2 linked regions of the Coturnix japonica genome follow. The protein of the gene in region 2 interacts with the protein of the main gene of each other region in a pairwise test. Links are inferred from orthologs where the notes say so. Each region holds a gene or a part of one and is shown on either strand. Other genes may lie near its edges. The genes, in order: RHOJ and PAK1.

What was found.
Region 1: the proteins of PAK1 (region 2) and RHOJ interact in binary tests that used the Homo sapiens proteins (3 or more experiments, as listed by UniProt). The link is inferred for Coturnix japonica from reciprocal best matches to the Homo sapiens genes PAK1 and RHOJ.

The regions. Positions count from the first base shown.
Region 1 is NC_029520.1:48,567,649-48,571,473, forward strand, and holds part of RHOJ (rho-related GTP-binding protein RhoJ), read right to left. Parts: intron 3,105-3,825; coding exon 3,009-3,104; intron 2,255-3,008; coding exon 2,108-2,254; 3' UTR 1-2,107.
Region 2 is NC_029516.1:172,845,871-172,849,695, reverse strand, and holds part of PAK1 (serine/threonine-protein kinase PAK 1), read right to left. Parts: intron 2,873-3,825; 5' UTR 2,852-2,872; coding exon 2,662-2,851; intron 1-2,661. UniProt on the Homo sapiens protein: Protein kinase involved in intracellular signaling pathways downstream of integrins and receptor-type kinases that plays an important role in cytoskeleton dynamics, in cell adhesion, migration, proliferation, apoptosis, mitosis, and in vesicle-mediated transport processes.

The sequences.
Region 1 (3,825 bases), on a different chromosome or scaffold from region 2:
CAGCACAGTGAAGCTATCATTATTTTTACAGTTGAAACCCTTCTTTTCTTTTTCAGTGGGTTTTTGGCCATTCCTAGTTCTCCTCATGCTCTTCTAACACCCTGTTACACATCTCAGATCAGCTGATTACTGGTGTCCCTGTTGTATTAATGCTCAGTGCTGGGACAGCAGCACAGCTTCTATGGCACAACATGAGCTCCTTCACCAAGCTCAGCTCTATCCTCGCCCCGAGCTGTGTTGTGTCAGCCAATCCATTTCTCTGGGACATGATAGAAGATATGCACAATGATTGCCAGCAGTAAAGAAGCCTCTCTTTTGTATAGCTATTCATTAGCATAATTTTAGCTGTTGTCCATGCTTGCGTGCAGCACAAGAGGTGGTGGGTGGCACTGACCTCAAGATTGGCCAGTTTTGATTGATCTCTACTGGAAATGTTTTGTGTCTGATCTGGTTTCTGTCAGTGTCTGTGGTAAATAGAATTTGTGCTCGAGTGAAAACAGGAGCTTGGATCCGTCATCTTCCATGGGTGAAGGATGGGGCACTGCATCATGATTGTTCTCTTCTGTTTGCTGCTTAGTTCGAGTCAACACACCGGATAGAGATTCTGCTGTTGCAAGGAGTTGTATTAGAGGTCTCTGTATTTTCTGCCTTGATGATTTTCTGCTTGGGGAACAAAATCCACAAGACAACCTCATGGCATTGCCATTGTTCCCAAAGGCAGATGCCCTTTGAACTCACCTCTGAGCATTGGTGTTGCTGTGAGATACAGAAATACAGGCTTCCCAGATTGGCTTTAGGGGAAAGGCACAATTTTTCCAGTAGCACAGGGAGTTTATGGGCAGCTTGTGCTCCCTCAGGGTCTTCCCACTCCCATGCTAAGGACTGCAGCCCATCTTCTGAGTCCACTGCTGAGAACTATGACTCTGTTAAGTCTTAAGTCTTAGCACAGTGAGGCTGTGGAAGAGTGAAGCAAAGTAATGAATAAGAGGAGGGGACCACAGGAAATCACAATGATCATAATTCTGCTTTGATAAGATTTTTACATGAGATACTCTAAAAAAATCATAAGGCACTTGGATCATCCTAAAGTACTTGAGATCAGTGTGACCTTTGGCTTTTTGGCTTTCGCTATTTTTGTCTGCTGGGTGTGATGTAGAAATCCAGCTGATCTATAAGGTAATTTTTCAGTTGCCATGGCAATGTGTCTCTTTCATGTTCTCAGTTTGGAAAGGTGATTGTTCCAAGCTGGTATTTCATGTCCAGGACAATATTTGGTGGCAGAATATCTTTGTCTCAATACACAAACACTACAACTCTGTTCCTCCTTTTCCAGCTTACGGAAACATGGCTCAGCCTGAATATTCCCTTGTACAAATAGAGCTACTTGCATTTCTTTTCGTTTTAGAACATTCCTTAAGTCTGGAGGTAAATGTTGATCTGTTTTGATAGCTTGGGTGCAGCAACATGCTGACGCTGTGAAGTTTCACCGCTAAGTGAAGACAAACTGGAATCGCTCCGCCTTTGCTTCTATGCAGATTGAACAAACGGAAGTATATCCTGAAGTAATGAGTTTTATAAAAGAAAAGTAATTCAAAAGTACATCCTACCTATCGTGTATATCTTACATAGTAGATTTCTACAGATCTCCACGTTCTTTCAGTCAGTTCAGATTAAATTCCTAAGTACTGCAAATTCTTAATTTTGATCAGTTCTTGCTTAAGGCCACAAATGGAGTTTGCTCTGTTTCTTTCATCCCTTTATTTTTTTAGGTTTTTTTTTTTTTTTTTAATTTTTGCTACTCAGTGCCTTCTTATTCCTAGGGTGAAGAAGAATCAAGCAGGAGCCGGCATCCTTGTTCCTGTTGGCTCAGCACAGTCTGCAGTGGTGGGAACAGACTGCATACAACTCTGAGGGTTTTGGAGTGCACAGAGACAAGAGTTGGCCTATTGTGATACAGCTTGGAGGTTTCACAGAAAGGAGGGTTCCTATTTAGGTAAAAAGGACCCTTTTCTGGTCATGTTCCCCTTTTCAGTTGTATATGACCTTCATTGCCTTTCTAACCTGCTTGGTTTCATTGAACTCATCTCACTTTCCTTTCTAAGTGACTTCATAGAATGGTGCAGCATCTGTGGCACTTTGCACAGTGCTTCTTCTTCTTCTTGGGGTGGAAGATGGTCAGGATTGCTTCATCAAAGACAGTCTTAAGGCCTTTCTGTGTGAGGGCTGAGCACTCCAAGTAGCATTGTGCTCCAATCTGTAAAAAGAGAGAGAAAGTGTGAGTACCCACTGTCTGGAGAGGTACAGAGACCCTGCTTCAGCATCCTTCTGTGTGTATATTGTCCTGATCTTCAGAAAGAGGGGTGAGGACCACTGCTTTGTATCTGGCTGCCTACAGAATTGAGGGCCAACCCCAGTGATCATCCTGAGTGAGAGAGTACCAAGTGTTGGCTAATTTATCATTGCAAAAAAGATATGTTCTTCTCTCCCTATGTTCTGGTTACCAAGCATGAGTAAATGATGAGATGCAGTGAAATGAAAAGTAGGGATATTAGTTGCTCTTGAAACACATTTCCCATTTGTTTAGGAAATGGGCTGCAATGTTCTTGTTATCTATCACTGGCTAGAGGGACTGAGATGTGGCTCAAGACTTCTTAGCAGTATAAACACCCCAGGATGAATAACCAGCAGGTCTGCTAGTGGAAAAGAAGTGGTGAAAGAGGTGGACTTGGTATGAGGGTGCCAGAAAGGCAGCTTTTAATTGCTACTAGCTGAAGTAGTCAGTAAAATGTGTTTTGTTGCCCCTTTCCCCACTATTGCTTTGCCTGGAGATAGGTTGGGTGTTGCAGCAAAGCAGTGGGCTCAGGAGCCAAAATCTGTTTCTACTTCCAGGGTGTTTGATATATGTCTGGGAACAACCAACGATCTGTGCTAAGAGTTTGCCTTGAATGAATGAAACCCAATGGAAATCTGCAATCCATTGATTTCATGGGACTCCAATAAGCTGTCACCTCCTTCGCCAGCTTCACGCCATGCTCATAGGTGAGTGGTTTCTCCTTCATGTAAAGCAGACGAGCCAAAGTTTTGGGATCATCTCGCAGGTCAATCTAGTAGAAAACACACAAAGCCCAGGCTCAGTACTGCCTTAGTGTAATTATCAAAAGGTATATTCATAGGTATGCAAACCCATAGTCACATCCCTGCACAAGGATGTCTGTCCTCACAGCCTCAGGTGAGAACACAGAAATGAATTACATATGTATTTTCCTTTCTTTCTTCCTCTCTTTTAAAATTTTCTGTTTAATATGGCTTAGTTTTTATTGGACAGTTATCAGGCTACAGCTCAGATGGCTGCAGCATAGTACAGATGCATTTCTCAGTGGCTTTCACAATACATCATGGAAAGGGTCGTTAGAAGCCCAAGCCACACTGGAAAGGGAGTCTGCTGTGATCCTGCACTGCATCACCTGTAAAACACAGTGACAGACCAGACAAACACAGCTCTGGATGGCTGACTTGAAGCAAAATCCTTTATTTCCATGGAAAATATTAAAGTGAAACATTCTGGCATTAGAAAACTACCTATTTTCAGAGTGTATGTTATCCAAAGCAGTGTTATCCAAGGGACAACTGCTGTTTAAGAGTATTCCAGTGTGGGAAACTAAGCCAGTGTTTGAATAACTGGACTTTCCTATGGCATGAGGAGTTTATTTTTGCTTAGAATTTGATCTCTTTCTCTAATTTGGTTTAGGTTACTGCCCAGTGTTTTCCTGACTTTAGCTTCACTGCAGCTCATGGTCTCTGTCCAGTCTGTGTCTTGGAAACCCA
Region 2 (3,825 bases):
CCACAGCTCTCTATGCCAGTGTCTCACTGCTCTCTGAGTAGGGAATATCCCAATATTTAATCTGAATCTCTCTTCTCTTAGTGTAAAATCATTCCCTCTTCTTGTATCACTATCAGACCATGTTAAAAGTCTGTCACTCTCCTGTTTATAAGCTTCCTTTAAGTACTGGCAGGCTGCAATGAGGTCCCCCCAGAGCCTTCTCTTCTCTAGACTGAAAAAGGAAGACAGCTTTCTGCATTCACAGCAGCAGTTAATGCTCTCCCCACAACCTTACAGTTTCTTGCAACCACTTCCGACAGATTCTCAACTGTCTGCATTTCTCCTGACTCTCAATAACTCTTGCTAAAATCACTCTGCCTTAGATATAACGTTACAGCCAGTGAATCCACAAATGTTTTCTTGTATACTTTATTAAATCTGCCTGAATGCCTCTTTCAGGGTTTTGCAGTGCCCAGATTGAATTAGAGCCTCATGTGAATGCACATGAAGGTGGCACATGAATTCAGAAGCATTCCTCCAAAATTCTCAGAAGACAATGCTTTCCACAAGCTCTTGTTGCAAAATCTAACAGACCTACAAGCCTAAATGCATTCAAACATTAATAATTGCTTTCTGTGGTAGAGATGTATTACATGGTAGGAGGCATATAACTGAAAAGAACTAAAGAGATGGGCACTCAGTCTCGCTGAACATGTACTCCCCATCTATAGTGATCACGTTATCCATGTAGTGGGTCAAAAAGCCCCGAAGATGCAAGATACCCACACAACTGCAGCAGTGAAACCAGCATGGAAAGGGCTCATAGACACTATACATCATTACTTCGTGGTACTACTCTGGCTCTTTGTGAATCAGCAGCAGAGCTCAGCAAACACCAGCAGAACAAAATGTGCCATGTTTGCCTGGTTCATACACCCCAAGAAGTGACTGAAACCAGAAAGACTTGAATGGTCACAGCTCCTGCTAATATGATATCACGGGAGCATGCATTTGGAGAGGTTCCATCCAGTATTAAAGTTAAGGGTTAGGCTGGGACAGGGGACATTAGAACTACACCTTCCAATTGCAGAGAGAACATGGCACTTCCAAAGCAGCCTGGTAAGGAGCAGTTAAGCAGCAGGAGAGAATTTAGTTGTCATCTGAGATCAGAAAAACGTTCCTAAGGTGAAAATCAGCCAATAAGAAGTGGAGGTGATGGTGTTAAAGCTAATTTTTGCTTGACAAGAATTGTAGGACAGAAGCAGTCGTTCTAGTTTGGGCAGATGCATTGCAACAGAAGGCTCTGTTGGGCTTGGCTAGACAAAAATCTCTCATGTCTGAAAGCATCTGCCATGTTGGCCAAACTTCAGGATGTGCAGGCTTAAAGCTTAATATCAGTGGTAGTATCTCTTTTACCTGAGCTGTTTACCATTTCAGTTACCATATCTCCTTTATATTCTACAGTATTTAATGTCATGTTTATTTTCATCTTCAACATTTCAGGTTATTTCTTTGTTTTCTGCAACTGTTGAGCCTAAAGGTCTTACAAACACTCTGCTGACACCAAAATCTTACAGTTCTTCAGGATTAATACACATAAAGGCAAGTTCTAACCAGTATCCTGCAAATGTTTAATAGAGTTCACGGGTTCCTGGGTTGCAGAATTAAAAAATCAATGGCTATAAACGAATCCAAGTTCTCCCTGAACTTCTATCTCTGTGATTTAAATTAGCACACCAATTAGACTTTGTTCTGTAACAAAAAATCAAGGAGGCAGCTTCCTTCATGAAGGCAAGCAAGTTGCAGGTACTTAAGACTTTCAGTTATCCAATGTCCAGACACCATTGCAATGCAGACTCTGATGTACTAGAAAGAGAAGTCCAAAAAAAAATAAATAGGTCAGATATAAAAAGGAATCAGTAGATACTTCAGGATAGAGATTTTTTTTTCTTATATTACTTTAAGATTCATGAGAGAGTTTGGAAATTATCGACATCATTATGATTTAGAATTTCAATTCACAGCTTCTCTCTCCATTTCCATCTGTTACGGTGTCTGCAACAGGAGACAATTCCTTCCCTTCACAAGAAACGTGCAAGAATTTGTGGTGAGAAATTGTTTGTAACAGCAAGTAGAAAAATCATGACACAAAATCTAGAATAAATGAGAAATTACACCTTCGACTGTAAGCTTGTTACAGCAGACCATGCAGTAACATGTGACAGTCCTGGCAGGAAATGGACTGTTACTCATGCTTTACACATACTTGCTGTAACAAGAAACAGGCAAAAAGCTTCCCCTTCCCCACCAAAGGAACTGACAATTGCAGCTTTAACTCATCAGCTTGTAACTGGGAACACAAGGTTTATATGATTTTCAAAATCATTATGGATAAGTCATGCTAGGAGCTGGCAGAGCTTGTCCCGTCTTTTAGGGATGCTGTTCTCATAATTAAAGGGGAAGAAAAGCACAAAAGCAGATTAAGAGGGATAGATTAATTGTGGTAGAATTAATCATTAGGATAAGAAAACAGAACTAGAGCCAGCATCACATATACCCCAAAATGACAACAACAGCTATGCAAGAAATGAACATGAGCCATCTTCCAAACCATCGTTAAGCAACAGCCATCCAGAGCAAAACTGAGACATAAGTTTTATAAGGAAAGCCACAATACTGTACTTTTATCTCCTGGTAAAATAGATCGGTAAAATCGGTCCCTCTTCTTTTTTTCTTCTGGGTTGGGTGGCAAAGGTTTTGAGCCATGGTTTAAAGTCCCGGTGTCTTTGCTTCCTGATCCAATCATAGTGCTGGTATTTCTCATCGGAGGAGCAGGTGGTTTGTCTTCTGTTTCAACTCCATTGTTAGACATCTTCAGATGTAGAGGCCGTTACTAGCAAAGGAGGAAGAAAAAGAAGTAAGAAGCTTTGTGGTTTGTTGAGTTAGAGTTGGGTTTTTTTTGTAAATTAGAATCACATGCTGTCAAATAAACCACACACAGGTATTTTCAGACAAACGTGCAGCCTCACACCAATGCAAAGCGTCAGCACACATTCCACTTGAGATCCCAATCATTTCTATTATATTGAAGAGTTTCAGTTACTAATTATCACAAAAAGCTTGTTTGCGGGGTACAGCCAGACCTCAAGTATAACATGAAGCAGAAGTGTAGGGTGAGGGTGAGCAGAAAAAGCAGCAAATCCCAGGTAGCAGAGAGCAGGGATATCTGACAGCAGCCAACATAATCTTACAACCATTGAGGCCGGAAGACTCTAAGACCATCAAGTCCAACTGCCAACCCATTTCCACTATGTCCACTAACCACATATCCACAGTTCTTGAACTCCTCCAAGAACAGCGAATCCACCATCTATGACAAATACTTTGTCAGAAATACCTTCTTCCAAATAAGACCTCTCGGATCCATTCTAGCTCTGCCAAAATCTGCCTCAACAGGTTTGCATCAACCTCCAGCTCAGGCAGTAACATGATGCACAGGGACTGAAGTTTGCAATCAAAGAGCATGGATACAGCCACTCAGGCTCCATCACTGAAAATGCATTGAAATGCACCAGAGGGAGATGGGCAGAAAGCATCAGTGTTGCATCCGTGTCACCTCCATGTCAAGTCCTGCAGTGTTTGCTGGGCCCCGGCCTTCCTGCCATAGCAGCATACTTGAAGCACAATTCAGACAGCCAGAACACTGATCCTCAATATACACATTAATCTCTAAGTAAATAAACCCTGCTGTGAGGATTTAAAGACGGAAGCTTGTGAACTGGGTAATAGATTCCTCTGCAGCAACCAGCTTGTTCCACCCAAATGAGATCAGCCTGACTTCAGAAG